4 linked regions of the Lonchura striata genome follow. The protein of the gene in region 1 purifies or fractionates together with the protein of each later gene. This does not show direct contact. Links are inferred from orthologs where the notes say so. Each region holds a gene or a part of one and is shown in the gene's direction. Other genes may lie near its edges. The genes, in order: SINHCAF, SAP30L, TNRC18 and ARID4A.

Region 1 (7,401 bases):
TTAATGGTGTCTTCAAATCGCCTTAATATAAATCCCCATAGAATAGTCTTACTGGCTTTAATAGGTATGAAAGCAATAGTGCTGCAAAGAAACCAACAGTGCTTGAGAGGCTGCATTTAAGGTGTTTAACCAGCAATAAAAAATGGTCATTTTGCTCTAGAATTTGAGGAATCCGTAAGAATTTAAGAGAATTATCTTCCTCTTAAGGAATTTGAAATGTCAATTTAAAACATTTCAGAAAGGTTATTATTCTCTGTTAAGCCCTAATGGATTTCTTAGGCTGGGCTATAAATGATCTGCCTTGTTCCTTGGAGTAAGCCAGTTCAGGGTCCTGTCTCTCTGAGCCTCATAGCTTGAATACTTCATTCTGGAAGCATGAATATCATAATATCAATTTTGATTATCATCAAACTTTGCTGTAATTTTTTGTAGCCATCTGTTATTTGGCCTAGAACATAAAATGGTGAAAATCCCTTTTCTTTTTTAACCTGCTTGCTCAGAACTACCAGTTTTTAGAGCACTTGTGCCTTCAAAAAATTAGCATGATGCTACTTACATGGGTAACTGGTGAAAGCAGAAGCTAAAGAACTCATTTGTTGATGGTATCTTGCTCTGAAATTGTACTCCTTGGCAAAACCTTATTTACAACTCTTTCAGCACTTCCCCCCCCCCCCCTTAAAAAAACTCCTGGTAATTTTTTTGAAAATCTTTTGGCCAATCACTAAGCCAAGAAAGTAAATTTTCAAATTACTCAAGTTACAAAAAAGAATTTTACAATTTGAAACAGGAACAGTGGCCTGGGTTTTTTCTTGACAGCTGCTCTTCACCTAAAAACAAGTAGCCTATTTGTGTTTACTTATTCATTAATATTGAAAAATAGCACAGTGGGATCAGATGTCTTGTCTGGCAAATGCCCTACTTTTTCTCTATGTTAGCACTTCTCCCTCATCATCGATACATTTATGTTTTAAAAGCCCTCATGGTTCACTTTATTATTATTACTATTGATATAATTTAGCTTCCCAGATAAAATAATTAAGAGTCCAGGCAGGGAAGGTACCAGTTTAACTGGAACACAGCAACAGTCCAATTAGTTTCCAGATGCACTCTTAAAGTAAATGTTTTTTAGAACTGATCTGGATGAAGATAAATCCTCATAAAGCTCATATTCAAGGTCACCTGGGATCTCTGTGAAATCCCACATTCCTCCTTTATAGCAAGCTCTGAGTGGAAAGGAAGATGCTTGATTTTTTAAAACAGAACCTTGTGAAATAAGGCTTTACCTGTAGTGTAAGGATGCATGCATTGTTTCAGATATCTACATTTTCCAAATTAAACTTCCCAGATTTGTCCCAAGTTGGAGGTTATTTTTCATCACCCTCTTTCCAAACAGTGAGGTCAGACAAGGTGTCCCTCTGATGCTGTGGAGAGCACACATGGCTTGCTCGAAGGGAAGGGGCTAGGGAAACCTTGGTGATGATCATCAGGTATTTGAGTGCCTTTTATTTATTTGCAAGCTGGCTATCAGCCAAAAATGAAAACTCAAACCACTGTTGAGTTACCAGCATAGCCCTGAAATATCATCAGCAAACACTTCAGGGGAACCAGAGATGTTTCAGAAATGAATGTTGGATCATGTTTTTCATTTCTGTGTTGCCATTTGGAATTCTGTGGATAGAAGGGGTGTTTTTTTCCTCTGAGAGGACAGGAATGACAGACCTGTTCACAGGCTGATCAGCACCAAATTTGGAAATTCAAATTCTCCCCAGGTTACAGCAACACCTGTCCTCACGAGATTTGGAGTGGAAGGGCACAAAGTTGTGAAATAAATACCAGAGAAGTTGTCCTGACCCTGGTTTGTTTGCAATCAAAGCCCACCCTGAGATGTTCTGTGAATGCTCAGCAGGATGGTAATGAGGGCAGCAATTGATTGGCGCCAAGAGATCCATTTTGTTCCATTGGGTTCTGCTTGATATCTTAGGGAATTCTCCTTGGAAAAGTAATTTCATTGTCACTTGGGATTTAAATGCTATACTAGATGGTGTTGGACTAAAAGGAATGTCACCAAGCGGCCTTGAGAAGTGTGCTAGAACAAAGAAATGAGAAAATCTGGGAGAAACACTTCTTCCAATCAAAAAGAAAGAGGCAGATGAAATCAAACACATTGTATGTAAACAAAATTTGCTAAGTGCTGGTAGAGTTTCCTAGACCAGTTAAAAGCAGTAAAATTATAGAAATATTTGGAGAAATTATTCAACATTACATACATCTGTGGCTCACAAGTTGAATATTATTTGGTTTAGCTGTGTCTGGAAGAAAGCCCTGGTAGCAGATGCAGCACTCTTTGATCATTCAACAGGAGCCCCCCAAAACTCAAATGACAACCTGGAGGGTTCCTTGGGTGGTGTTCTCCTGTGCTTTGTGCCCAAAGTGATTGGATTGGCAGCACTGAGGAAGGAGATGGGGTAGTATTACCATGGATTTACAAGCAAGTAGAGAAGATGTAAGATCCTCAGACAAAGGTAAGGAAAAGTATCTTGTCCAACTCTGAAAATTCCCAGAGCTTAGCTAGTCTAGTTGTTGGAAGCAAAAGGATAATTTCAGCAAAAGTTCTTGGTGAGTTGTTAAATCAGGATTAGTCTGAAACGGTCACTGTAATGAAAAAAAAATTGTTATAGAAATATTCATTGGCATTATTTCAGTGTTTTAGAGTATTCAACAACACCTGCATGTGGTGCCTGAACTGCAGTTGATTCTGTGGGAACTTTTAAACTTTTAAGTAGTTCAAAAGAAGGGAATCCTTATTTGGGCTCGGTTTGAGTGGCAGCCTGGGAGGGAGTAGCTCGCAGCTTTATTGCAGTCACGGGCTGTAATGGTGCTAAGTCATAACTCCTTAGGTGTTACCTTGTATATCACATGCTAATTCGTCTGACACAGTTCTCAAAGAAAATCTATTTCAACATAACCTGCCAGCCGCCTCGTGAAGCAGCTCTTCCAAAATTGCACAAAAGACCCTGAACCCAAAGGCTGAGATGACGCAACTTTTTAATTCACTCATTGTGACGCTGCAGGAAAAATTACATAAGCCACTGATGACTTTTAAAGCACTTTAGAAAACGAACGTTAAAATTAACCCGGAGCGGGAAAAAAACTCTTTCCGTGTTCCCTGCGACGCGCCCCCCGCGAGGTTCGGTGCGGAGAGGCAGCGATGGCCACAAACACCGCTAGGTGCGGTGGGGATGGGACGCGCCGCGCTGGGAGGGGCGGCGTGTCACCGGCGTGTCACCGGCGTGTCACCGGGGGTGGCAGGGTCGTGTTGCGGGGCTGTGTTTGCGGCGATGTTCGGGGCTGTGTTTGCGGGGCTGGGCTATGTTTGTGGTGATTTTCGTGGCTGTGCTTGCGGTGATGTTTGGGGCTGTGTTTGTGGTGATGTTTTGGGACAGTGTTTACGGGGCGGTGCTCTGAGTTTGCAGTGATGTTTGGGGCTGTGTTTGCGGGGCTGGGCTGTGTTGCGGTGATGTTTGGGCTGTGTTGCTGTGATGTTGGGGCTGTGTTTGCGGGTCTGGGCTGTGTTGCTGTGATGTTGGGGCTGTGTTTGCGGGGCTGGGCTGTGTTGCGGTGATGTTGGGGCTGTGTTTGCAGGGTTGGGCTGTGTTGCAGTGATGTTTGGGCTGTGTTTGCGGGGCTGGGCTGTGTTGCGGTGATGTTTGGGCTGTGTTTGCGGTGATGTTGGGGCTGTGTTTGCAGTGATGTTTGGGCTGTGTTGCGGTGATGTTGGGGCTGTGTTTGCAGGGTTGGGCTGTGTTGCAGTGATGTTGGGGCTGTGTTTGCGGGGCTGGGCTGTGTTGCGGTGATGTTGGGGCTGTGTTGCGGTGATGTTGGGGCTGTGTTTGCGGGGCTGGGCTGTGTTGCGGTGATGTTGGGGCTGTGTTTGCGGGGCTGGGCTGTGTTTGCGGGGCTGGGCTGTGTTGCGGTGATGTTGGGGCTGTGTTTGCGGGGCTGGGCTGTGTTGCGGTGATGTTGGGGCTGTGTTTGCGGGGCTGGGCTGTGTTGCGGTGATGTTGGGGCCGTGTTGCGGTGATGTTGGGGCTGTGTTTGCGGGGCGGTCCCGCGGGGGCCGTTCCGGCGCCGGGCGGGGCGGCACGAGGCAGGTGCGGGGCGGGGGCGCGCGCCGCGCGCGTGAAGTCACCTCCGCCGCCAGGGCGGGCGCCGCCCCCGCGCGCGCTTCCCGCGCGGCCCTTTCTGCCTTAAAAGGACAACGGGGCGCGCGCGGCCGGCGGGGCTCGATTGATGAGAACGGAGCCGTGGGAACGGCGCCTGCGCAGAGCGGCCGAGGGGCGGGAGTGGGGCGGGGCGCGGGCCCGCGGGCTCGCGCGGCGGCAGAGCGCGGGGAGACGGGGAGCGCGCGCAGCGGCGGGAGCGCCGCGCACCGCACGGGTGTCGGTGGGCGCAGCGCGGCGGTGAGTGATGCTTCCCTTTCTCCCGGGCGGGAGGGAGCGGCGGGCTCAAACTGAGTTTCGTGGCTGCTTGTTTCGCGTTCTTCGGGGCGTCTTTATTATTTTTCCCTTGTTTTGTTTGCTTGTGGTGGGTTTCCTTTTATTTAATTATTCTTCTTTTGGTGCTGGGATTTATTTTTTTTCCGCGAGCTGGTGGTTTCTGTTCATTCCGAGTCACTCCTCGGAGCTTGTTCCCAGTTTTGCAGCGGCAAAAAGACTTTGCCGCCTTGAAACACTTTGACATGCGTGTGGCTTCTGTGAGCGGTGTTTCGCCCGTTTTTTTTCTTCGATTAGTAGAGTTTTAAAGGATGCGCGAGCGGAGAGGAGCGCCTCCCGCATTGTTGCGGACCCATCCCTAGAACTCTGATTTCGCCCCCCCCCCCCCCCCCCCAATCCCCCCCAATCCCAAAGTACAATTAGATCTCCAAGTCTTTAGGAGGAAAGAGTAGCCAGATCCCCATAATTTAACTCCGAAAGCAGTCCCAAGGTGCGGAGCGGGTTTGGAAAACCGGGCTGCTTGGCGATGACGGGGGCTGCAGGGCAACTTTCCCGGGCCGTGGCTACCCCGGCCCGCCACGCGGGTGGCGTGGCCCCGCCGGTGCGGAGCGGGTGCCGCAGGTGCGGCCCCGGCGCGCCCCGCAGCGCACACCTGTAGCGCTCGCTCATGAGTTGGTGCCAGCGGCGTGGCGGAGGAGAGGAGGACACGCTGGTGCCCGCCATCCCTCTCTCCCCGTGTTTCACGTGGGGAGAGTGGGGCAGTTCTTATTGTTTCCAGTTATCATTAGTAATTGCGCGGGAGTCCGAGTCCGTGCACGCTGCAGAGGAGCAAAACGCGCGGCCGTGGGCTGGCGGGACACGTGTTGTCGGTCGCACCGGTCGCGGTGTGGGGCCTTCCCCGTCCTGCCCCCGGCCCGGTGCGCGGCGTTGCTGGCGTGGGGACGGAGCGGCGACGATGGCGTCCTGCCGCTCCGTAGCTCGGTGCCAGCGCAAGCGGCTCCCGTTCCTGCCGGCGTGTGCCCGCGCCTGGCGCCAACAAGTTCTAACTCGGGGCTCCGGGGGCTGCGCAGCGCCGGGCGGCGGGGCGGGCGGCGTGCCCCCGGCGCGGCACGTAGGCAGCGCCCGGCTGCAGGGAAAACAAAGGGCTCGCATGTGCTGCGGGCGGCGCGGCTCCCCGGCGCGCCGGGGGAAAGCGCTCCTCCGCGCCCGGCGGGGGCTCGGCTCCGGGCTGGCGGGTGTCGCTGGGGTAACACTTGTCGTGCGCGGGACGGTGTTTTTTAGGGGCTGCCTGCCGATTTTGGAGGAGTTTGGAGGGGCGGGGAAACTTTGGATGCAGGCGCGCTCCGCACGGAACCGCGCTGCGCGCACGGCTCTGCGGCCGGCGGGCGGGCAGGCCCGGGCGGCCGCCCCGGGGCTGCCCCCGGGTCTGGGGGTCCGCGTCGCCCCCGTCGCGGCGTGCCCGCGTTGCCGGGAGGTCTGCGACGGCCCTTTGAAGTGAAACTGTTGCCATGTTTGAATTACGTCAGGGCCGAGCCATGAGGAACCGGCGCGGGGCGGGCGGGGAAGGGCGGGGGGCGGCGGGGCACGGTCGTCGCTGCGCCGGAACGGGGGTCCGGGTGCTCGGCGGTGCGGCCGCGGCTCCATCCCCGCTTCTCGCCGCTCCCCCCGCGCCGGATGGGGCGGCTGCTCCGCGACCGCGTGGTGGGGCGGCGTTTGCAGCGCGGGGGCCGCCTCGCAGCGCCCACCTCCGCGCTCGGGGCTTTCCTCCCTGGATCGCCGCCTTCCCCTTCCTGAGCTCTTCTAATTTATTTTTGATTTCACTCGTCTTTCGGCGACTTGAGCGCTTGGCAGCCCCACGCGGGGGGGGTGCTGCGGCCACCCGCGTGTGCGCTCCCGCGGCTCCACCTGACCGGCGGGGCCGCCCGTGAAAGTAGGTCGTGTGCCCCGGGGGGTCTTTGTTCCCGGCCCCGGCCGCCGCTCCAGCCGCCGGCGCTAACGGGGGAGCGGGGCCGTGCCCGGAGCCACGAGGTGCCCTGCGGGAGCGGCGCGACCGAGCTCTGTCTTTTTAAGCGTTTTTTACCGTTGTTATTTAGGGTTTGGCGGGTTTTTGTTTTGTTTTAATGTCGCAGTCTTGAGCCATGAAAGCGCTCCCCGTTGCGCTCTCACTTTGGTGAGGTAAAAGTTGCCGTCTCCTCTCCTACCCCTGTGTCCTGGTGTGTGTAGCTGAAGGGATTTAAAGGGACCTGCCAAACCTGTTGTTTACTCGGGCTGTCCCCGTACGCAGCGAACAGGGCTGAATCCCTCCTGCCCCGGAGCCCCCCCACCCCCAGCGATGCTTTCCTGGCGGGAACGGCCTCGGTTCATCCTACAAAGAGCCTTTTCCCCTGACTGATGGCCCGTCCTTCGGACCTACATTATTCAATTAACATTACAATTGCAAAAATCTTGGGAGCTGCCTCCCGGCGCCGTGGCTGTGCCGGCAGCCGCTGCAGGCTGCTGATGCAGGATGCTGCCCGCTGCCGTGCCCTGAACACGTGTCTGGGCTGGAGGCCGGGCCGTGCCACCGTCCCCTCGTGGCTGGGGAGCGGCAGCAGGGCCAGCGTCCTGCACTGAGCCCACAAGTGCAACAGCAGTGCGATGCTGTTTTTTACTTGGAGTTTTAATTTGGCGCTTAGGAAGGTAGCAGGCTGACAGCCGTGCACACAAGTGTTTCGCTCTTTGGATAAGGCAGTCGGTAAGGGTGATGGCTCCTCCACCAGCTCCTTTACTGCTGTGTGCTTGCTTCCAAAGCTGAGGCTGCTCCTGGCAGCCGTGTGCAGGGTGTGTGCACCCCCTTCTCACCAGCCCGCAGGCAGACAGATCCGCTGTGTAGTTGACAGCTTTTTAAAATTAAAGATTGCACAAACTT
Region 2 (6,904 bases), on another chromosome or scaffold:
CAAATGTGAACTTCAACCACAAAACAAGATAAAAACTGATCAAGCTAACAGCCTGAAACATTAGCCCTCACAATAACAGCAACAAATAGCTTTAGCCTCTAGGGTGGAGAAGGGAATTGGTTTCAAAATGCATTCTCTAGGATCTCAGTGATTAGGTCTAAGTTTGTCTGTACCTTGTACTGCATGCATTTCTCTGTAAAACTGGATGGTGCCTCTTGAATCAGTGTGTATTTATTTTGTGCGTATTAGGAGCAACAGCCTAATATCTGGGGGTGGTAAAGGACTTGTAGCACTTTAATGTAGTAGCTTTCATAAATTGGGAATCATTGATAGAATGCCTAGTGTTTTTAAAGTTGAATGGACTTCCTTTTATAATATATTTAAAATAAATTTTTAATGTGTTTTCTGAAAACTGTGTACGCAGACGTGACTGTCCCCGCCTGTTTTGCTCCAGTGATTGGTTTCTCTTCTACTTGTGAGAATAAACTCAGCTGCCCTGGTGTGGTGTTTCCACAGCACAGGTGTCCTGTCACTCCATGCCCAGTGGTGCAATCCTTAAGGAACCACAACTGTAGTGGACGACTTGTGCCCAGGTAGGACACCCCTGGGGTGGACTGGCCTTGGCAGGGCACACTGGGGAGCCCAGAGGAATGGAGAAAACCCAGCTGTGACTCTTCTTTCTCTGCCTGCTGGCCTTGGGAGTGACTGCTGGGAGATCATCCCCACCCCTTGGTTTGCAGGGGTGGGCTGTAACAGCTCATGGGTTGTTTGTGTTCTGATCTCCAGGTGGGGAGAGCAGGCTCAGCCCAAGATGAGAGAAGTGTATCAGCATTGCTCATGTTCCCACTAGGACCCTCAGCGCTTCCTACTGTCACCACTTCATTTCTTCAGTGGCCTTCTCAATACTCCTATTTACTCAGCTCCATTGGGTGAAGAACACTGGGGGGGAAATGGATGAGAGACAAAGAATGAAATGTGTGAAAATCTGTGTGTGGGAAAAGGAGCTTTTCTGGGGGACCAGCAAGGCATGATCCCCAGGGAAGACTGTGCTGTGATTCTTGGCCACGGGAACATTGCCCAGGGTAAGTATGTGCCAAAAGCTGTGACAGTTTAAGCATTTTAGCAGGTTCAATATGTGCAACCCTAGAAAAGTGCTGAGGAGAGTGGGAGTCTGGGGGAAGGTGCCAGAGCAGTGTTTTCATTGGCCTCCCCAAGGTACTGCAGAAGGAAATGGTCTGATTTCTGATGATGAAAAGTTTAAAAAAACCTTCTTCCCAGGACATCTCAAGCAGCACAGACCATGAGGAGAGAAGTATTTCTGTCCTGAGCCCCCTGAATGACTCCATTAAAATACTAAGTTCCAGATGACAGTCACACCACTGACTTCTCTTCAGAGGGTAGTGCTCCAGGTAAGATTTACAGGCCTGCACAGGCTCCCCTAATTTGATTAGAGGCTGACTGGGATGGCCAGGCTATTACTGCTTCAGAGGTACTAAAGCTGCCTGGGTACTGATGGGTTTATGAAACATTGTTTCTCACTTCATTGCAGCTCCCACAAAGAATTATTGGATCAGGTTAGTGATAGATACCTAATAAAGAATGTCTCGATGAGGCAGTTTATTTTGCAGAAAGCTTGTTCCAGACTAGCAGACTGTGAAATCTGGAGGTTCCCATGAGGATAAATATGCTGAAATAAACTGCAATTATAAAAACACCTCCATTCGTTGTTTTGGGGTTGTGATTTTTTTTTTTTTAAGACTGAAAAAAAGGTGTCATCGTGTTTGCGTGAGAAGGAGGTAATTAGCATCGAATTAGCAAACAGACAGTGACAAAAGCTGTTTTTCCTCATAGTGAGCACTGCAAAAGGACTTAAAACCTTTTTAGCTGCAGAGATGAGCGGTTGCAGCCCAAGACTAAATATAATCTGATGGTCAGTACCAGCCTGTTCTGACACTTAGGGTGCCTGTTTCTTCCCAGAATACAGTCAGGGAGCACCTGCACAATCTCCTCAAGGGGACAGGAAAAAATTCTGCTTGTTCCCTTTTATCTCCTTGCTTGCTGTTATTATCATCTGCCCCTACAGTCTGTGGGTTTGGCTTCCAGAGTGTCAAGATAATCCTGCAAGATTTCCTCAGCCAGCCATTTGATTTTTATTGGTAATGTTAAGATAAAGCCAGAAAGGTTGTTATCAGCAGCTCTGAGATCTCTGTCAGCCTCTTGGTGTTTTCCCTTTCCCCAAAACAAGGGACTATCTCTATGGCTTTGCCAGGAGGATATTACTTCAGGCAGGCAGATTCCAATCAGTTTGATCTGGGGCTTTTATAAGCCGTAGTGTTTTACTGTTTTAGATCTCTTGGCTCTTTGCTAACTGCTTGTTTGCTCTGTGGGTAAAGTCATTCGTTTCCACCAGCTTCCCGTGAGAACGGCCGCTGTCCCCAGGAGGGTGCACTGTGGTTCTCCGCTGGTCACATGCACAAACAGAAATTACATATTGCCCGAGGGCACCCGCAGTAAAAACCAAGACAAGAGTCAGAACTGTTGAGGAGTATGAAGTCTCTGCCCTCTAAATCTATTCTGAGGCTTGTTTGGTATTGTAAGGAGTGCCTGGAAAATACAGATTTTGGCTTTTCTCAATCTTGTGCAGAGCTGGTTGGCAGTATTACTGCATGGAGAGCCTGAGCTGATGGCCAAGGGCTTTAAGGAGTCTCTTTCTTGCAAAGGTATTTTGTGTGATTCAGCACAGCTCACGCACATTGTTCCATGTGCAGGATTTAAGGCTTTGAAGTCATTTTAGTCTACAGAACCTTTCTTCTGTCTGAGCAGAAAGTCCTTTCTTCAGGAAGATGAAATCGTTTTCCTTTCAGAGCTGCTCAGGAACCTCTGAGAATAGCATTTGCTGTCTGGTATTACAGAAGTCACAGCATTTCCAGAAGTTTCATCTTTTCTTCACAAATCAGCAAGAATTCAATTTTTTTACCGCCACCCCACCCCGCCCCCACTTTTCGCCTCCTTTTTTCTCCCCTTTTTTATTTTTGGGGAGATTTGGGGGTTAGGGTGGGGGTTTTGTCTTTTTTTTTTTCAGAGTTCTTTTTAGGTTTGTTTTTTTTTTTTTTTCTGAAGATGAAAAATGCGAAGTTTAAAGTCACATGGCTTTGAGAAACACTTCTCCAGGTCCCATCTTTTCACTGTCGCTGCCTTGTGATAAGGGGAAGAAAAAAAAAAAATTAAAAAAGAGTCTTGTATTTCTTATAAAAAACTACGTTTCAGCCAGGAACTCCAGCCGGGGTGCTGACCCAAGAGCACGCATTTGTGGCTGTGCCGACCCGGGTCGGGTACGAGGGCCGGGGGGAGCCGCAGCCCCGGGCCTGCTGCGGGCTCAGGTCTGTCCCCGGAGCGCTGCAGGTGCGGCTGCGGCGCCCCGGCTGCGTGCGGCTGTCCCGTGCGCGTCCCGGCAGCAGGGCAAGCCCGAAGCCGGCGGGGCCGGGTCGCTGCCCGCCTCCTGCGGGCGGCACCGGCGCGGCGGCCGCGGACAGCGCCGGGAGCGGCCGCGGACAGCGCCGGGAGCGGCCGCGTCCCCTCACGGTCCGGGCGCCGCCGCTCCCTCCGCGCGCCCCTCACCGCGACCTTCCGGCTGCGGGGGCCGGGCGCCGGCGGCGGACGGACAGCTCCGCCGGCCAATCGGCGCTCGGAGCGGCGCGGGGCGCCCCGCCCCTCCAGCCGCGCGGCCCAATCAGAGGCGCGCCTGCGGGCCGGGGGCGGGACTTCCGCGGCCGGGGAGGCGGTTTTGTGTGTGCGAGCGCTGCGCGGTCCCGGCTCCCCGCGGGCGGCGGCGCTTGGGGGGCCCGGCCCGGCCCGAGCCGCGGGCAGCGCTGAGCGGCGGCGGCGGCGGGGGGGTCCCCTCCCCTGCCGTAGCGGGGGGCCCCCGCGGAGGCGGCGGGGTCCCCCCGAGGGCGCGGTAGTGACGGCGGCTCCGTCCCCGCAGTTGGTCCCCCGGTGGTCGGCTCCCCGCGCGGGGTGAGGGGCGGGCAGGTGGGCGATGAATGGGTTCAGCACCGAGGAGGACAGCCGGGATGGGCCGCCCCCCGCCCCCTTTTACGGCCAGAGCTGCTGCCTCATCGACGACGGGGACCGCTGCGTGCGCCCCGCCGGCAACGCGTCCTTCAGCAAGAGAATCCAGAAGAGCATCTCGCAGAAGAAGCTGAAGCTGGACATCGACAAAAGTGTGAGTGCGGCCTCGGCCGGGGCTGCGGGCGCTGCCGAGCCCCCCGGAGGGGCGGCCGGGCCGGCTGCGGGCGCCACCGCACTGCGGTGCCTCCGGGGAGACGCGGATCCGCCCGGCGAGCTGAGCTCCCGGGCGAGCGGGGCCGGGCGCGGCACACGCGGAGCTGCGGACCGCGCTCGCCCATCCTCAGCGCTACAGCTCGGGATAACGGGGAGGATCCTTAGCTCGGGATAAAGGGAAGGACGTGCCTGGCTGCACCCGGCCGTTCCCCCCGTGCAGAGCCGGCTTTTCCCTGTGGCACTGCCCGCCTGCTGAGGCATAACGTAGCTGAAGCCCCGAACGCCGTGCTGGGGAGGCGGGTGTGTGCAGGGAGGCAAAGGAGCGAGCTGTCCGTGCTTGGGAGGCAGGAGTGCTGTTCCCGTTGCGGTCTCGGCTTGGAAAGGCTGCTGCTGTCAGGTGAAAACAGCGCTGTGGTTGCTGCTTCAGTCAGGCGGCACTGACGTTACTTCTTTAATTGCGAAGAATTGGTGTTGTGGCGAAGCAGGTTAGAGACCGAGCTGGCAGTGAGCTGTGCTGCCTCTTCAGCAGGGTCTGTTCGCACACGGAGCAGCCCGGTTTGCTGCCTAATGACACTGACAGCTGTCAGCTCCAGATAGAAACGGGTTATTTGCCCGGCAGAGAAGAGCAGATCACAGAAGGAATTTCTCAGAAGTGACTTCGTTAACGGAATTCAGCTCTGCACGCTTTTTTTTTTTCGCCTGATCTGTAAAGATCAAAACCACTGAAAACAAAGCAAAAGCAAAAAAAAAATAGGTGAAGTTTTGAGTCAGTCTGTTTGGCAGCTCCCCCAGTTGGTTGGGTCCCTTCTGCACAGCCAAAATGCATCGTGTCACGGGAAAAGTGACTCAGTTTGAAACGTATTCTTGAAAACTAGAGCATTTCTCCCAGTTGTAGTTCTCAGCAGATTTGTCTAGTGGCGTAGTAATTTCTTGCATTTTAGAAATGAGTCTCTGTTGACAGATGCCAGGCTTTAGAAACAAAAAGGGGAAATCAGACTAGTACAGTCAGAACAAAGGGAAAGTGTAAAGCAGGCTGCATGGATGTAGGGTGCCTGTGTTATCTGAAGATACTTTGCCTTATAGACACCAAATAATTTTGATCATTTGAAGTCCTTTGTTTTGCTAACTCTAGTGAGATTATATTTGTTAAAAGGGAGGTTCCATTGCTGAACAAGCAATAGGAAGGAGGCTATTCTGCATTTGGTCTGTTTGTTTTAGTTGAGGTGATCAGCTCAAGTTTTATTTGTCAAGGTTTTGAAACACTTGCCTTAATAATCCTCTGTATTATTCAAGCCAGAAAGTTCACAAGAATTGAATAGAATAATACATGTTTTGGTAGATACCTGCTAGTAAGTCCTGAAATAAATGCACTTCCTCCAGACAAGCACCCATCTTTTTTCCTGACAGATGATTGCAGCCATAAAAAACAAATTTATTATCTGTAGAGGTTCAATTCAGCTGAAGCTTGAGTTCTTTGTTTTCTTTACTTTTAGCCTTTGTAAGGTAAGTTATCTCTGAATAAAGAGTGTGATATCAGGGCTGGATTTAAGATTAGAAATTCCTTGATGTCAGTCGGTCACGCCAGTCTTGAGAGATGCACCTGACACTGGTGTCAAAGTGGCTGCTGTTGAATGCTGTTTCACCGTATCTTTTTTGATTGCTTTTTCACCACTTCTGGTTCTCAGGTGAGGCATCTGTATATCTGTGATTTTCACAAGAACTTCATTCAAAGTGTTCGGAACAAAAGGAAGAGGAAGACGAGCGATGATGGAGGTGACTCTCCTGAGCACGACACGGATGTTCCAGAGGTTTGTGGGCTGCTTTACCAGTTCTTAGCATGTTGAAGTTTCACTTAGATGTTCTCATACATCAAAAAATAGTTATATTTTAAATTGCAAGGCCATTGAAGCTGCTGTGGAGTTACTTTCACTTTTCCAGGAAGAGATTTTTCTGACGTGTGGTGTCCTAATTTTCTTCATTCCCCTATGAGTTCTTTGCCCATGTAAAGTTTTCTATAAAAAGAGGTGTGATAAGGTAACTTCACAGCTTAGTGTATGTACAGTTAAAATTGTATTTGATACTATTTTTTTAAGGCTAAAAATAAGTTATTTTTCATGGTGTCTCATGCCCCTACATAATTCCTTATTAATGAGTATGCATCATTTTGCAAATACACTACAGAATTCAATAGGTCACTCTCTTTGATTGGGTATTTGATACCCATGGATATTGAGCTGCTCCAGATATTTGCATATATGGTATTTTTTAGCACTATTTAAAACTACCTTTAAATAGTTTGTGACACATTTTTATTTTCAGGAGATAGGCCTGGGGGAAGTTTTCTGTGCTAGAGAACTTTCTCTGTGCCACTGCGCTGCGCTTGCTTCAGTGATGTTTCTGGTACTGTTGACATGGCAAAAGTTGTGCAGAGGTGATGTTCAGAGAAGCAGAGCATGGCCACAGTCAGCAGAGCCCTCTGCTGGAATTGCCAACCCTATTGGCAAAAAGCTGTTTATTTCTGAAATTAAAAAAAAAAAAAAAAAGAAGCCACCCAGATTCATTTTGCCAGCAAAGCTGTGTCTTGGTGCAAAGCTGGTGCACACACCTCCTGTGTGGAGGTGTT
Region 3 (7,639 bases), on another chromosome or scaffold:
ACGCTTTAAATATAGCTCCAAAAACACCCTGAAAACGTGTAGTAAGCACGTTAAAAACAGCGGGCGGGAAGGATGCACAGCACCCCCCCCCAGCTAAGGATGGGGAGCACGGGATGGGGGGGGTTTATTGTGGGGGGAAAAAAGGGGATTTTGGGGGTCCCAGCAGATGGGGATGGGGGTCCGGCAGCAGGGCCTGTGCCCAGTCTGTGAGTTGAAGTCAAGAGCTGGGTTGGCAATGAAGGGGTGAGTGTCCCCACCCCCCCCACACACCTTGGCAGCCCCCCAAAACGGAGGAGATGTGTTGGGGGTGGAGGGCATCGCTTTGCTTTGCCTCCCACGTCTCCAGAGAGCCTCCCCCAGCTCCCCCCACTCCCAAATTCCTCCTTCCCGTCCTACCTGCATCCCGGGAGCGGGGGGCAGTGCCCGGTGTGGGGCTGGGGGCTGCACCGCTCCGCTGCCTCCTGCCCGCTGCCCTCCGCCTCCGCGGGCACCGGGACGGGGGCGGCCACCGGGAATTTCGGGTTCGCCCGGGGAGGGGAGAGAAGGGAAGAATGGGAAAAAAGAAGGAAAAAAACCCAAACCAAACCGAACCAGGAAGAAACGCCAAAACAAAACAAAATGGAGAATAAATAGCTGGGGGACGGGGAAGGGGAAGAAGGGGAAAGAAAAGAAAATTAAGGAAAAAGCAGAAGGGAAGAGATGGAGGGAGCGGAGCCGGGCGGGAGGGGGGTGCGGGGGGGACGGGGGCGGCCCGGGGGCGGGCGGCACCGTGGGAACTTGCCGGGAGCCCGGGGCACCGGGATCGGGATGGGAATGGGATCGGGATGGCAATGGGAATGGGAATGGGATCGGGATGGGAACGGGAACGGGAACGGGAATGGGAATGGGGGGGGCCACAACACCGTGCGGCTGCTCGCGGGACAACCCACCCCACCGCCCCCCCCTTCCCCGCCCCGATGTTATTTTTAATAAAAATAGGTATTTTTGGAGAAAGCGCTGCTTGCGGAAAAGCTTTGGCGCGGGGGGGAAATTGTGGGAGCGGCCGCCATCCCCCCCAAATTTTACGGGGAGCTCGCAGCCCCCCCATTGCGGTGTTGCGGGGGATCAGTGGGGGAAATAATAGGGAGAAAACAAGCGGGGCTGAGATTCCATGTGGAAAACAGCGGGGAAACAGCACCGCGCCGGAGAGGGGAGAATAATCGCAACAATAACAATAACAATAATAATTAGAAAAACGCGTATATTAGGTCGGAAGTACTTTTTTTTTTCACTCTTTTTTTTTTTGAGGGTGTTTTGCAGCAGCGATGCCCCAGCCAGGAGCTGCTGTACAAGATGGCTCCCGGCCGGGGGAAGGGGAGGAGGAGGAGGAGGAGGAGGAGGAAGGGCTGGAGTTGCAGGCAGGGGGGGCCGATCCCCCCCGCCCCGCCCGAACCTGCTTTTTCTATTTTTTATTATCATTTCCCTGATTTATGATATGCCAACCCCCCGGCCCGGGGACAGCGGCGGGGAGGTCCGGGCGTGAAGGCATTAAACATTTATAAAATACGCTTTTAAAGCCACATAAAAGCGATCAAACCATTATTTTTTTTTTTCCTTCTCCCCCTCTCACCCCCAATTCCCCCGGTTTCTTTTTGGTTTTTTTTTTGGTTTACTAAAGGAGACTGGGAAAAGAAGCGCCCTCCCCTTGGAGGCAGCGGGGTTTGAGCCCTCGCCTCTGACGCAGTTTTGCTCTTAAATATAAATAAAAACATAAATATATATTATTGTTATTTATTATGATTATTTTCGCGTTAAACCAGGGCCTTGAGCAGCGTGAGAGCTTTTCGACAAACTCGATTTTGCTTGGAATGTTTAAAAATGAGCAGATTTTTGGGGCTGTTTCTCTTCTTTTCTGGCCGATGTCCCGGTGGGTTCCTCGAAACTCCTGTCCGGGCGGTTGGGGGGGGGACGCTTTATTATTATTACTTTTAATTTATACCGGATTAAATTAGATTGTATTTTCCTTCCTCTCCTTTTTCGTTATAAAAGCCGATTTTTGTTTGATTAAGTAAAGAAGCGGGAAAAGAGCGGGGGGGTTTGGCAGCCGTGAGGTGTTCCCCCCCACTTCTCCCAGGGGAAGAAGTGGGGAAAGGGAAAAACACATCAAAAATTGGGGGGGGGGGGAGAAAAATAAATTAAAAATAGAAAGGAAAAGAAAAAAATGGAAAGAAAAGTAGAAGTTAGTGTGGCAGTGCAGGGGGGGCCGCCCCACTCACAATCCAGAGGGGGGGAATGTGTCAATGTCTCCTCCCCCAGCGTCCCTTTTCACCCTATTTTTGAATTTTTTGGGAGGCGGGGCCCTCAGGGAGGGCAGGGGACCCTCCCCCGCTCCCCCCCGGCCCTGAAAGGCCGCTTTGTCCGCGGCGGGGCCGTGGGAGAGGGCCCGGCGGCACTTCCCCCTCAGCCCTGCCCGGGCGGGATGAAGGATTTAACCCCACAGATAATGGAGGGGGTCGCGGGGCGCTCCCCCCTCACGGCCCCGCTCGGAGCGGGGACCCGCGGCCGCTCCCGCCAACCGCCCGCCCGCTCCGGGCGGCAGCGCGGGGGCGGCCTGGAAACAGCAGCGGGAGCGCCGGGGGCGGGGCGAGCGGGGGGCCTGGAAACAGCCGCCTGTTTACCCGCCGCTGAGTGACAGCCCGGCCGACCAATGGGAAGGCGCAGAGCAGCCGCGGGCCCGCCCCCGCCGCGCCGAGAACAATGCGTGTTTCATAGCCCCGCCGCCGCCGTTTTTCCCTCCCCCATTCCCCCGTTTTTTCCCTCCCTCCCTCCCGCCCCGCGCTCGCGCTCCCCTTTTTTTTTTTTTTAATAATTTTTTTTTCCCTCCCTAATTTTTTTTTTTATTCCTCTCTCTCTCTTTTTTTTTTTTCTTTTTTTTTTTTTTTTTTCCCTCCTCTTCCCTTAAGCGCCGCCGAGCCGCGCGCGCGGGGCCGGCCCGGGAAGGGGGGGGGGGTTGTGGAGGCGATGCTGCAGCTCGGCGGGGCCCCGCCGCTCCATGGCGCGGCCGCCACCGCGTCGCTCCCGCGCTGCTGCCCCTGAGGAGCGGAGCGGAGCAGCGGAGGAGCCGGGCGGCGGGCAGGGCGGCGAGCCGGCACCCCCCGCCCCAGCCCCGCACCGCCGCCATGCCCCGCGACCAGGCGGCCTGACCGCGCCGAGGTAGGACCCGCACCCGGATCCGCACCCCGAGCCCGGGGCGGCGGTCCCATCTCCCCCCACCCCCGACCCTTCTCTTCCGCCGCATCCTCCCGCTTTTTCCCCCTTTTTAGCTTTTTTCCCCCATTATTGATTACTTTCCAGCCGGGATCCGGCCGCTCCCGCAGCCCTCGGGGTGCGGCTCGCCCCGAGCAGCCACGCAGGCAGGCTTTAATTAATTTTAGAATCCACTCGAAAATAATTTTTTAAAACCCCCAACAAAGCAAAGCAGTGAGATTTTTTTGGGGGTAGAATTTTGTGATTTAGCATTTCTCTCTTCTTTATTTCTTTTTTTCCTTTGTTTTAGTTTTTTTTTTTTTTTTTTTTTTAATCATTCCTCCCCCGCGCTGGAGCACCCGCCCGGGAGCCGGGACGGGCGGCGGGGCCGGAGCGGCGGCTCCCGGGGCTCCGGTAGCGCTTGGAGAGGGTTTGAGGGGGAGAACCTCCACTTTATCCACGCATTGTTTGTTACTTCTCGCTATACAAAATACAGCGGGCGAGTGGAGCCTTTCATCAGGCTGCGAGTACAAATATAGATAGTTTTATGTATACGGTTGGGTTGGTTTTTTTTGGTTTTTTTAAGCTGTGCCGGGAAACGTTAATACGGGTTTTGTTTTCCCGAGTGAAAGTGGCGCTGCAGAAAGGAAAAATAAAAAACCCCAACCTAAACAACAAGCCCAGTCGGTGGTTTGGAGCCGTGGGAATGAGCTCCAAAAGAAGCGAGAAACTCGGCTGCCGGAGAGATGCCGCCGCCGGAGCCGGCGGCGGGGGAGAAATAAAGAAAAGAGGGGGAAAATAAAAAAAAAAAATTAAAGAACTAAAAAAAAAAAAGGTGGGGAAAGAAAGGAAAAGAAGAAATATTTGGGTGGGTTTTTTTTTTTTGTTGTTGTTGTTATTTTGGGATTTGTGTGTTTGTTTTCCGGGGCGAAGTGCGGTGCCGCGTCCCCGCCGGTCGGTCCCGGGTTGCGGGCGGGCGCTGCCCTGCCCGGCCGGGGCTGCGGCCGTGACAAATGTAACTCTTAGGGACAAAAGTTTAAATTCTTAAAATATTATTTTTAAGTACTTAGTTTTTTTTTTTCTGCCTGCCTTTTGCCACAAGTTTTCCTTAGATTTTTTTTTTTTTCTCCCCGCTTTTTCCCCCTTTTCTATCCTCCACTCCGGGAAGATTGAGGGTGGGTTTTGGGGGGTATTTTTGGGGGTGGCTGTGAGCAGGGGGGTGTCGGGGCATGTCGGCTCACCGCACCTCCCCCTTCTTTTCTCCTTCGCAGGCAGCGCCGAGACCGCCGCGCCGGGGCTGGCTCCCTGCACCGCGCCATGGGACGCTTGGACGCCTTATTTTTGAAAACCATCTGATTTTTTGGGGGAGGAGGAGAAGGGGGGTGGGGGGCGGGGGGGGGGGCGGGAAGGCGGTGGTGGCGGGCATCGACAGCGATCCGGGAGACTCCGTGAAGCCGGCGAGTGGATGATGGATGGCCGAGATTTCGGGCCCCCCCGCTCGGTGCACGGCCCCCCTCCGCTGCTCTCCGGGCTGGCCATGGAGAGCCACCGCCTGGGAGCCACGGGCCGCCTGGCCCCCGCCGCCGGGCCCATGGCTGCCGGGCTCCCCGCCGCCCTCCAGCCCGGAAAATTCCTCGCGTCGGGCATCAGCCTCCACTCCCACCCGGGTAAGGCTCCGCGGAACCCCCCGCGCCTTCCCTGCCTTCCCTCCGCGGGCGGCGAACCCGGGATCGGGCTTTAACCCCCCCCCCCCACCGCCCCAAAATATAAATACCGTCAGGATAATTATACATTTATGTGCTCGCAGCTTTTTCGCGTGTTTTCCCTCCCAAGTGTTTTCTGCTTCGCGTGGTTTTGATTTGGCGAAAAAAATTAGGGGAATGGGGAAGAAGTACGAAAACAAATAGGGTGACGGTGGAGAAATAAGAGAATGGAGTAAAAAATAAGGGAATAGGGGAAAAAATCGCGCCTATCCGATAGAAGTCCCCCCTTCCAGCGTACGGTTTTGTTGGCACTGAGGAAAATCCCCTCCGCGGCGGCTGCGGGATAAATCCGGGGAATAAATCCGATTTTCGGGAAAGCTGGGAGAGGCGCAGACAGGATTGCGGAGGGACGGGACTGCGCTGCCCGGCGCTGCGCTCCCGGACAGCCAAAAAAAACCATCCCTGGGCTGGGAAAAAGGGGTAAAATGGGGCTCTTTCGGTGATTTCTTGCCCGGTGCAGCCCGAGTCCCGCTGAGGTCCCGCTGCCCCCGGGTAGCGCTGCCGGCACCGCTGGTTTTGATGCTGTTTTTTCTTTTCTTTTATTTTTTAATTTTTTTTTCCCTTCAAAATTCTTATTTTTTAAACTCGCGAACAAAGCTTCCATGCAAGTGTGCAGTGACTGCTCCTTCCTTGAATTTTTTCCCTCTTCTCGACGCACTTCATCCTTAGGGTCCCCACGGCTGTATATCCATTAAAAAAAACCCAAAAAAACCAACAAAAAACTAGACGCTGAAATATACGCAGTTTATTTTTTTTTCCCACAGTCAGCTTTTTATTTATTTGTTTAAATTACTTTATTTTTTTTGAGGATTTTCATTTTTTTCCCCTTTTCCGAGCTCCATTTCTCAGCGGCTCGCAGAGTCCGGCACTGCTGGGAGGACGCTGCCGCTCTCTCCTGCCCACAGTCCTGTAGGAGGACACAAGGGATTTCTGACCGTTTGATTTCCCTCTCTGGCTCTATTTTTAATTTTTTTTTTCCGCTCTCTTTCCCCTGGGCGTGGAGAGGTGACTCGGAGTTTACTTTAGGCGTTGGGAGGGTGACAGGTTTTGCAATAATAAACCTGCTTTTCTCCCAGCCGCCCGGGATGAATGACTTTGAAATTTGCAAACCTGATTGCCAACATCTGCAGAGAAGGAAGCAGCCTGAATCGAGGGAAAAAGATTTATTAGTTTTAGACTAGGTGGCAGTGCCAATTTCCCAGGTGCTAAGAGGAGAGGTGTAAAGCGAACGGGGCTATGAAGCCAAGCACATGGGCAAACACCTTATTTTTTCCTTCCCTTTTGTCTTTTTTTTCCCTCCCTTTTTTCCCCCCCTGGTTATTTTTTTTCCTCTCTCTTCCACCTCCTACTGCAGCTGAATGTGATCTTAGCAAAAATGCATCTGGACAATCTCAGGCCAAACAGAGTGTGGGTTCTTGGAAATTTTAAAAATTACTCTTATTTTTCACTGGGTAATTTTTTTTAAAGTTTTATTTCTCCTCCCAAGGTTTCCTTTTCTGAAATCCAGGCAGGTCAGGAGGGAGGCACAGAGCTCTGGCCTCTCCAAGCTGACCAAGCTCAGTGATGCCGTCTGGGAGCTTTCCTACCACACTGGGAGAAAGCCTCAGATTTGAGTCCCCTCACAGAGGGAGTGGAGTGTGTTATACTTCCAATTCTTTTTTACTGTGTTCTTATTTTATTTTTAAAGTTATTTTTATTTTCCTCTTTCTGGGAGTTATTTGAAATGCCTGTCCCTGCACCTCAGTGGTGCCCGGTCTCCCCATCCGCTCCCCGGCACGATCCTCGCAAAGCTCAGCTTTGTCACGGCAATTCCAAGTCAGGCTAAACTCCATTAAAAGGATCTGTACAATTAACAGCCGAAACTCCCATTAAACCGCAGCAGTGGGATAGGCAGGGATATTTTTTTTGTTGTTGTTTTTTTACGGCTTTAACAATATCGCCTGAAATGATGATTGCTTCCTGCTACCAAGGCACCCTTTGTAGCTTTTCGTTTGCAGTGCTGTTGGTGTGTGGTTTTGGTGTTTTTTTTTTCCTTGTTGTTGTGTTTTTTTAGGGGTTTGTTTTGTTTTTAGGAGGGGTGGAATGCAAAGGCTTGTGCAAGGGGTTAAGAAAAGTGGGCAGGAGGCAAAGCCTTTAAATAGAGCCAGTTCAAACCGATCCGTAAATACCGCCGGGCTGAAGAAAGAGACTCTTGAATCCGTCCCAGCGTCCTCTGAAAATAAATACGCCCCTGTAAAAATAGCACTATTGGCCATATTTGAGAATCCAGTTATGGCCGGCACCGACTCCTTGTTTTTCCCGTACCTTCTGCTCATTCCGGCAGCCGGGCTCTGCCCCAGCGCCAGAGTACGGGCGCCTGGGCTGTGTCCAGTGACCCCTGGACCCTCGGCTCCTCTCGGGGGGATTTCTGCTCCATGGTAGCGATTTCTGCTCCACGGGGGGAGGACAGGGACAGAAGCCCCTTTGTTGGAAGCGCAAGGAGGGAGGAGTGAGCTGGAGGCCAAGGCGGGAGCTGAGCCGGGGATGCCATTCCCTGTCCCCCCTGTACTCTTGGGCATTGCCATCTCCCCATCCCCGAGGAGGGGAGCGGGGTGCTCCCCCCATGGGCCTTGCAGAGGGATAAAGGAGGGAAGGGACTGTTTGCAATGGAA
Region 4 (6,897 bases), on another chromosome or scaffold:
GGAATGCTCCAGAGCTGGGGAAAACGTAAGTAAGCATTTAACAGGTTTCATTCAAGTTTCTTGATGAAAAACTTGGTTTTATTCCCTTCTCTCACACACATAATTATAAAAATGAAGGAACTTAATGCTGATAGTTTAACAGTGCAGCACAATTTTCTCTGTGACCAAGAAAGGTTTGATCTTCCATTTTTATAATCTAACTATTACCGGCTGAAGGTTTTTGCTGTCAACTTCACATTTATTGGGATTTTTTCTCTTTGTGCCTGCACTTCATAGCTTGTTGCCATGCTCTTCTGAGCAGTTTGCAATCATTTAGATAATAAAGCTTTGTGACCTTAATTTGTACAGAAATACTGCAGTTCCACATAGACAGAGGATCTGCAGAAGTGTTGCCTATTTAACTACAGAAACACCAAAAGGAAGAACATTAAAAAAAGAACAATGGAAGCAGAAATAAAAGCTAAGTCTCCTGAAGAACTGCAAAGTATGACAGAGTAGCACTTTGCTTCACTACATAGAAAGAAGCTCAGTGTTAAACTAAGATCCAATATTTTTAATGTTTCTACAGTATTTTGGCTGCAATTGTATGTGTATTCTGAGTTCTTTTATCTATAAAAAAATCCAGTATGTCAAGAGCAGTATGTGATTACTGAACAGAATAAAACCATCTCACTTATCCCAGAAATCTTCTTTAGCTGTGATCTGAAGGAAGCCACGTGATACATCAACAGTTACTTGTTCTGCTGTTCTTATAAAGAGAACTATAAGATACAGACATTCCTAAATTTGCTTTTTCTTATCAAGTGCTATATGTATGGAAGACTTTGGGCAAGATTTCTGGGATAAGTATATTCTGCAACTAATACACCAAACACATTTTCAAGTGCTTAAGTGTATTATTTTTACTAATTTACTTACAGCCATCACTTAGAATTCCAGGTGACCAATGATCAGTGTTGTCCTTCTGCCTTAATGCTTTTAACTGTTTTTAAATTAAGAAGTCTTTAATTTGCTCAAATGCATCTCCCCAGGCAAATCTCCCATGCTGCACCCACAAGACCTTTGGTACTAACGAAGTACAGATAACCAAGTACTGCTGCTCTGAACAATGATCTAAAAAATGAAATGTTTCTATCTCACAGCATGTCTGTTTACAGAGAGATTAGATCATAAAAGGACTTACTGTGATTGTCCCACTCTAGAGCTTCTCAGCTGTTAACTCTGTGCAGTTAACACACCAGGCCATGATAAAAAGGCTCACCAAATTGACCTTCTCTGCTCATTTCTTCCACTCATTCCCAGTTTTCCTGTAAGGGTTTGCACAGGGGGATGGGGCACAGTGCAAAGATCCAGTACAGCCAGGATGGCTCCAAGTTTCAGAGCTGCTTAACATTTAGGATGAAAAATGGCAGTACCATGGAGTAACTCTTGAGTCCTGAAGTTCCTATTCCAATGAAAAGATATTTAAACCAAAATTAGACTTTTTTTCCTGCCTTGCCAAAAGCACAGTGTTCTCATTCCATGACACTAGACATCATCCTTAATCTGTGTGAGGACATTTGTGCTGTGCTGAGCTGCCCACTGGGCATTCTTACGATATTTAAAACACCATAAAAGAATAAGTCACCGCTCCTGCTCACTGGCTAAACAGAAATAAAGTCCTTTTGCTTGGTGGGGGACGTGCCATGAGCCTCCTAATTGTGCTGGCTGTAACTGAGACATCCACAGTGGCAGAAATTTTATTCTAGAAATCAGAAACAAGACTGATTAGTTCCATCACAAACTGTTATTTATTGAATGGTTCTACACTCAGTAAAGAGATACAAACCATGCCTCAGGAAAGCTCACAATCCAAGCCAGGATTTCCCAACACATTCCACAGAGAAATCAGAAGTTCACATTCAAATGGAATTTTGGAAGTTTTGTTAACATTTAGGTTAGACATAACATATTCTAAGTCATAGAATCAGAGAATGGTTTGGGTTGGAAAGAGCCTTAAAAACATCATCTAATTCCAACCCCGCTGCCATGGGCAGGGACATCTCCCACTGTCCCAAGGTGCTCCAGGCTGTGTCCAACCTGGCCTTTGACACTTCTAAGGACCCAGGGGCAGCCACAGCTGCTCTGGGCACCCTGTGCCAGGGCCCCACACCCTCACAGGCAGGAATTTCTTCCTCATATGGAAGCTCAACCTGCTCTCAGTCAGTGCAAAGCCATTCCCCCTGTCCTGTCACTCCATGCCCTTGTCCAAAGTCCCTCGCAGGTCTCTTGTAGGTTCCCTCAGATACTCTCCAGTTTATTCCTGAATAGAATCAAAGCTCCCTCAACACTAAATGCCTCAACCTTTAGACTTTCTGTAGAGATCTTCCTTCAACCATCTTGATATTTATAAGCCAGATCCAAACACCAAAATTCCAGACCTTTCCTCCATGTCTTGCCTTGCCTGCAGTCAATTCCAAACAAGTCTCGAGTGCTTTGTGCCTTATTAAACCTTCAGTGCTTACCTGCACCACACACCTCTGCTCACTGAACTCCCTAAAGGACTCTCCCATTACCTGCCACTTTCCAAAGCATCAGATTTAATTAAAAAAATAAATAAATACAAAGGCCACATTCAAAGCAGAACTTACATGGGAACTATACCTAAATTAACCATATATTTCTGTCAAATTAACATAATGCTTCCCCGCTGTTGCTTTAGCTAACCCTGAGAGATACCTTGGAGCTCACAGTGAGCAGTGCCAAATAGTTGCTATTGGAATATAAACTACGGATCTGTTATTTCAGAGTAAAAAATATGCATCTATATTACCATAAGCCACAGAATAAATTCTGTATAACATGCCAAAATGTGAAACGAAATTTAAAACATTTAGTTTTATCACAGGCTTCCACCTATAACTCCTACTTAATAAAGTCAAAGCTCCTCTTTAAGATCCAACTCTCTCAAATGAGTCCGGCAGGTGCGGGTATCCCGCCTCTTAAGGCCGCACCTCCCGGACCAGACACGGTAACACCCCCACACATCTCCCAAAAAAAGCCCTCAGCCTCCTCCGCGCTGCTCATCCCTGTCCGGGCTACCCTTCCTGCAGAGGGAAGCGTGGGGAAGCGCCCGAGCAGCCGGAGCCGGCCGCGCTCCCTCCCCACACGCCTCACGGGCACGATGGAGGGCGGCGGAGCCGCGCCCTCCCCCGCGGGAAGGCGGCGCGGGCCGGCAGCCCCTACCTGCACCCCGGGCGTGTCTCTGCGGGGCGCTCGGGCCGCCCCGCCGGCTCCGCGCCCTCACGGCGGGCGGTCCCGGCGCCTCCATGGCGGCCGCTCCACTTCCGCCTCCGGCCGGGCCCGCTCCTGCGCCGGCGCCGCCTCAAGCGCGGCCGCCACCAAGACGCAGCGACGGGATCATACAGCCGGGAAGAGACGCGGTGCCGCCTCAGCGGACCTCAGGATGAGCCTCCCGGCCGTTCCTTCCGCCGATCCCACGGCAGCTCCCGCTCCTCCCTCTCCCCGCGGCCTAAAATGGGAAAGAGCCGCGCACAAAATGGCGCCGGCGACGCCGCGGCCGCCGCGCCTGCGCGCCGCGCGCGCCGGCCCCGCCCCCACCGCCACCGTTCCGCCCCCCGGCCCGTCCTTCCCCCTCCCTCCCGCCCGTCCCGCCACGAGCCAATCACATCGCGCCGTTGCCCTTCCGGTCCCCGCCGCTCGCCAATCCCGTGCGGCCGGGGCCGCGCCGCGACCCAATGGGGGTGCTGTCCGCGGCGGCCCAATGCGCGCGGGGCGTCGGAGCGGCGGCCAATGGGAGCGGCCCCGCTCCCGCCGCTTGTTTATTGGGGCTCGCGCTGCGGCGCGGGGCGGGTCCGCGCGCGGAGCGGGGGGGGCGGGGGGCGGGAGAGAAGAGCGGGGGGGGCGGAGCGGGGGCCGCGCTCAGCCGGGGCCGCCGCCGCCGTCTGCGGAGGGGCCCGGGCGGCGCGGGGGCTGCGGAACGAGGAGTTCGCAGGTAGGAAGGGACGCGCGAGGAGGAGGAGGGAGAGAAGGAGGAAGAGGCGGCGGTGGCCGTGGAGTTGCTGCTGCCGCGCCGCCGTCCCGGGGGAGGGGACGCGAAGCGGCTCCGGGAGCTGCGCTTTAAAACACCCCCCCCCCCCCCCCTTCCCTCCGCTCCCCCTCCCCCGCCCTGTGGGAGCGCACGGGCGCGCGCGCCGCCCCCCTCACGGAGCGGGACCCTCGGGACCGGGACCCCCCAACTCTGTCCCGGTATCCCCGGGATCGGCCCCCGCGCTCCCTGGGCCGGGGGGCTGCGGCGCTGCCCCGGGGCGGCGGCGGGAGGCACAAGTCCGGGAGGTGAAGGAGGAGGAGGAGGAGGGGGCCCGGCGGGGCCGCGGAAAGTTGAGGCGGCTGGGGGGGCGGCGGCCCCTGAGCCCCGCGGAGCAAATGGCGACGTGACACACACCGAGCGCGGGGCCGCCCGGCGGGAAGCGGCGGCCGCGCTCCCTCGGCGCGGCCGGGACGGGCGGCGGCTCCTTCCCTCCGTCCCTCCCTCCGCCTTCCCCGGGCTCCCCCGCCGCCCCTCGCGGCGAGCCCCGCGCTCAGCCCTCAGCCTCCCCCGCTCTTGTTTTGCAGTGTTGCCCGTGCGAGGAGAAGTCCTGGAGCTGGAATCGCTCACATAACCCTTAAAGATGAAGGTAGGCGGCTCCGGCGGGAGCGGGGATCGCCGCCCTGTTCGCCCGCCGCTCTGGAGATTTCATTTTTAATCGCTCTCCGCCCGGGCACGGCAGCAGTGGGAGAGCGCGGGGTTCGGTGCGTGCTGTGAGTGCTGTTCCTGCTCCCCGGCGAGGTGCAGGTGATTTAAAGCTCTCGCCGCCGTGCAGGAGCGCTCGGAACATCCTCATCGCCTCTGAGTTGTTGTTGTCCTTCGGGCTCCCGTCTTTAAACGCTTCCTGTATCAGCAGCTGCTATGGCAAGTTTGCAAAACCACAGCTTTTGTCCCGCCTTTGCTGTTGCCGGTTTGCTCAGTACAAAGGCTCAACAATTGCAGTATAATTTACAAAACTTTTCCTTTTCCCTTCAGAGTTGAATGAAATAATTAAGTTATTAAAAAAACCCCATACATATCCCGTTTTATTTTAGATTCTGCACCCATTTCCTGTATTTCCAGTGTTGTTATTTTGTCCTTGTTTATCAGCTGCAATAAGCACGGTAAATGAAATGCTGAGTATTAAAGTCCAGGTTAAGGAAAACGTGATGAATATTTTTCTTTGAAAATGCACTGGCAATTAAATGTTAATAAAGGCATTCCAGGAAAGAAAAATAATTGTTAATAACTGTTTAAAAGATTGCAACAGATTTCTCTAGAGGTCTCCTTTTAGTCACCAGGAAAGAAATCCTGTAAATAGAATGTTTCAGACTTAATTGTAAGTTGGGATGACACCAATCTCAAATGTTTTAAATAATCTGTGTCTTTGGATAGCTTATTGCTGAAAAAATACAGCTGTCTATTGCCTTTTTGCAGTTGCAATGTTTTCCTTTTGCACAGAACCTACTTGAATTTATAGTTGCTCCTTCACTTTGTTGCCCTTTTTATAAGCAGCTCTCCTAAGTATCAATGAATACCCTCAGAAACATTTCTGGGAGAGTCTTGACAATGATTTGACAGGAGGTGTGTGTCAACATCAGTGACAAACCAAAACTTCCTGTAACTTGTTTGTTAGGTTTTTTTTTTTTCCTTTTGAAGAACTCTGCAATGGCAATCTCAAGGACAGACAATTTATTAATTAAAAATACAACAGATCTAAAAGGTGTGAAATGAAATACATCCTGATGCAGTTGTAACAATAAGTAAGAGCTAAAGTTTGATTTTGTGTTTTTGTTCCCCTCCAGGCAGCAGATGAGCCTGCCTACCTGACAGTGGGGACTGATGTCAGTGCCAAGTACCGTGGTGCCTTCTGCGAGGCAAAGATTAAGACGGTGAAAAGGCTTGTGAAAGTCAAGGTGAGAGTGCTGAGGCTGATGCTGGTTTTGGTAAAGCATTGTGCTGAAAGGGCTGTCACAGGAGATCCTACTCCTGAAGATTAGAAAACCTTCATCACTTCACTGTATGAATTTTAAACAGCACTTAAATGTGGTTTTTTTCATATTTTGTTGTTTAGTTTAGGATGAGATTTTTTTTTTTGCTTCATTCTGGGGGGAAATGTTGTTTTTTTTATTTTATTTTTTAGTGGGGTGCTGGAACAAAAATGAGCTTTCTTGCTTCTTTTTTCCTGACTGCATTTGTCTTCTGTTTTCAAATGCATCAGTTTCCCAGCAATAAGTTTTCATGTCACAAATACAGGATTATGGCTTTACATGAATAATAAGGAATAAGATCATCCTCTTCAGAAGCAAAAGTTCCATTTCATACTGACTGACACTCTCACTTTTACGGTTTGGAACTGAAAAGGCAATGCAAAAACAAGTCAACAGCAAGAGAGATGGCAATAATTTGTTTCTTAGGCCAGGTTTTAGGCATGCCTAGGGTAATATTTAAGTTTTGAGCATCTTGATGCAGCTTCTAAAGCAGCATGCCCTGGCTGTAGCTGAATTTCTCTGCATGGATAGTATTGGAACATAATTTTCATTCACCTTTACAGGACTTCTGGAAAAACAACCAAAAGAGAAAGTTGTCATTTTGGTGTTGTAATACTGTTGTAAATGCCACTATGTGAGAATAAGAATAAAACATTGTTAAATGCAAGTTAAAATTGAAAGTAAATACAGAAGTTGTTCTTCTTTGTTTTGTCAAAGTCTTCCCACTTCCTACTTCAGTGCCTGCTGTCCAAGATATGTAAATAAGTATCAGTGACCCAAAATCCCCAAGAAATTGAGGTGAAAGCTGCTTTTTGTAACTATATATCCAAGTTTTTGTGT

What was found.
Region 2: the proteins of SINHCAF (region 1) and SAP30L purify together in Homo sapiens (affinity purification with mass spectrometry; 3 studies listed by BioGRID and IntAct, counting the BioPlex papers as one, with this or other methods). This does not show direct contact. The link is inferred for Lonchura striata from reciprocal best matches to the Homo sapiens genes SINHCAF and SAP30L.
Region 3: the proteins of SINHCAF (region 1) and TNRC18 purify together in Homo sapiens (affinity purification with mass spectrometry; 3 studies listed by BioGRID and IntAct, counting the BioPlex papers as one, with this or other methods). This does not show direct contact. The link is inferred for Lonchura striata from reciprocal best matches to the Homo sapiens genes SINHCAF and TNRC18.
Region 4: the proteins of SINHCAF (region 1) and ARID4A purify together in Homo sapiens (affinity purification with mass spectrometry; 3 studies listed by BioGRID and IntAct, counting the BioPlex papers as one, with this or other methods). This does not show direct contact. The link is inferred for Lonchura striata from reciprocal best matches to the Homo sapiens genes SINHCAF and ARID4A.

What each region holds. Positions count from the first base shown.
Region 1 is NC_134607.1:17,964,053-17,971,453, forward strand, and holds the start of SINHCAF (SIN3-HDAC complex-associated factor), read left to right. Parts: upstream 1-4,390; 5' UTR 4,391-4,460; intron 4,461-7,401. UniProt on the Homo sapiens protein: Subunit of the Sin3 deacetylase complex (Sin3/HDAC), this subunit is important for the repression of genes encoding components of the TGF-beta signaling pathway.
Region 2 is NC_134617.1:5,247,879-5,254,782, reverse strand, and holds the start of SAP30L (histone deacetylase complex subunit SAP30L), read left to right. Parts: upstream 1-3,885; 5' UTR 3,886-4,036; coding exon 4,037-4,222; intron 4,223-5,966; coding exon 5,967-6,089; intron 6,090-6,904.
Region 3 is NC_134618.1:14,607,441-14,615,079, reverse strand, and holds the start of TNRC18 (trinucleotide repeat-containing gene 18 protein), read left to right. Parts: upstream 1-4,634; 5' UTR 4,635-4,690; coding exon 4,691-4,892; intron 4,893-7,639.
Region 4 is NC_134608.1:4,704,361-4,711,257, forward strand, and holds the start of ARID4A (AT-rich interactive domain-containing protein 4A), read left to right. Parts: upstream 1-3,896; 5' UTR 3,897-3,994; intron 3,995-4,614; 5' UTR 4,615-4,670; coding exon 4,671-4,676; intron 4,677-5,871; coding exon 5,872-5,982; intron 5,983-6,897.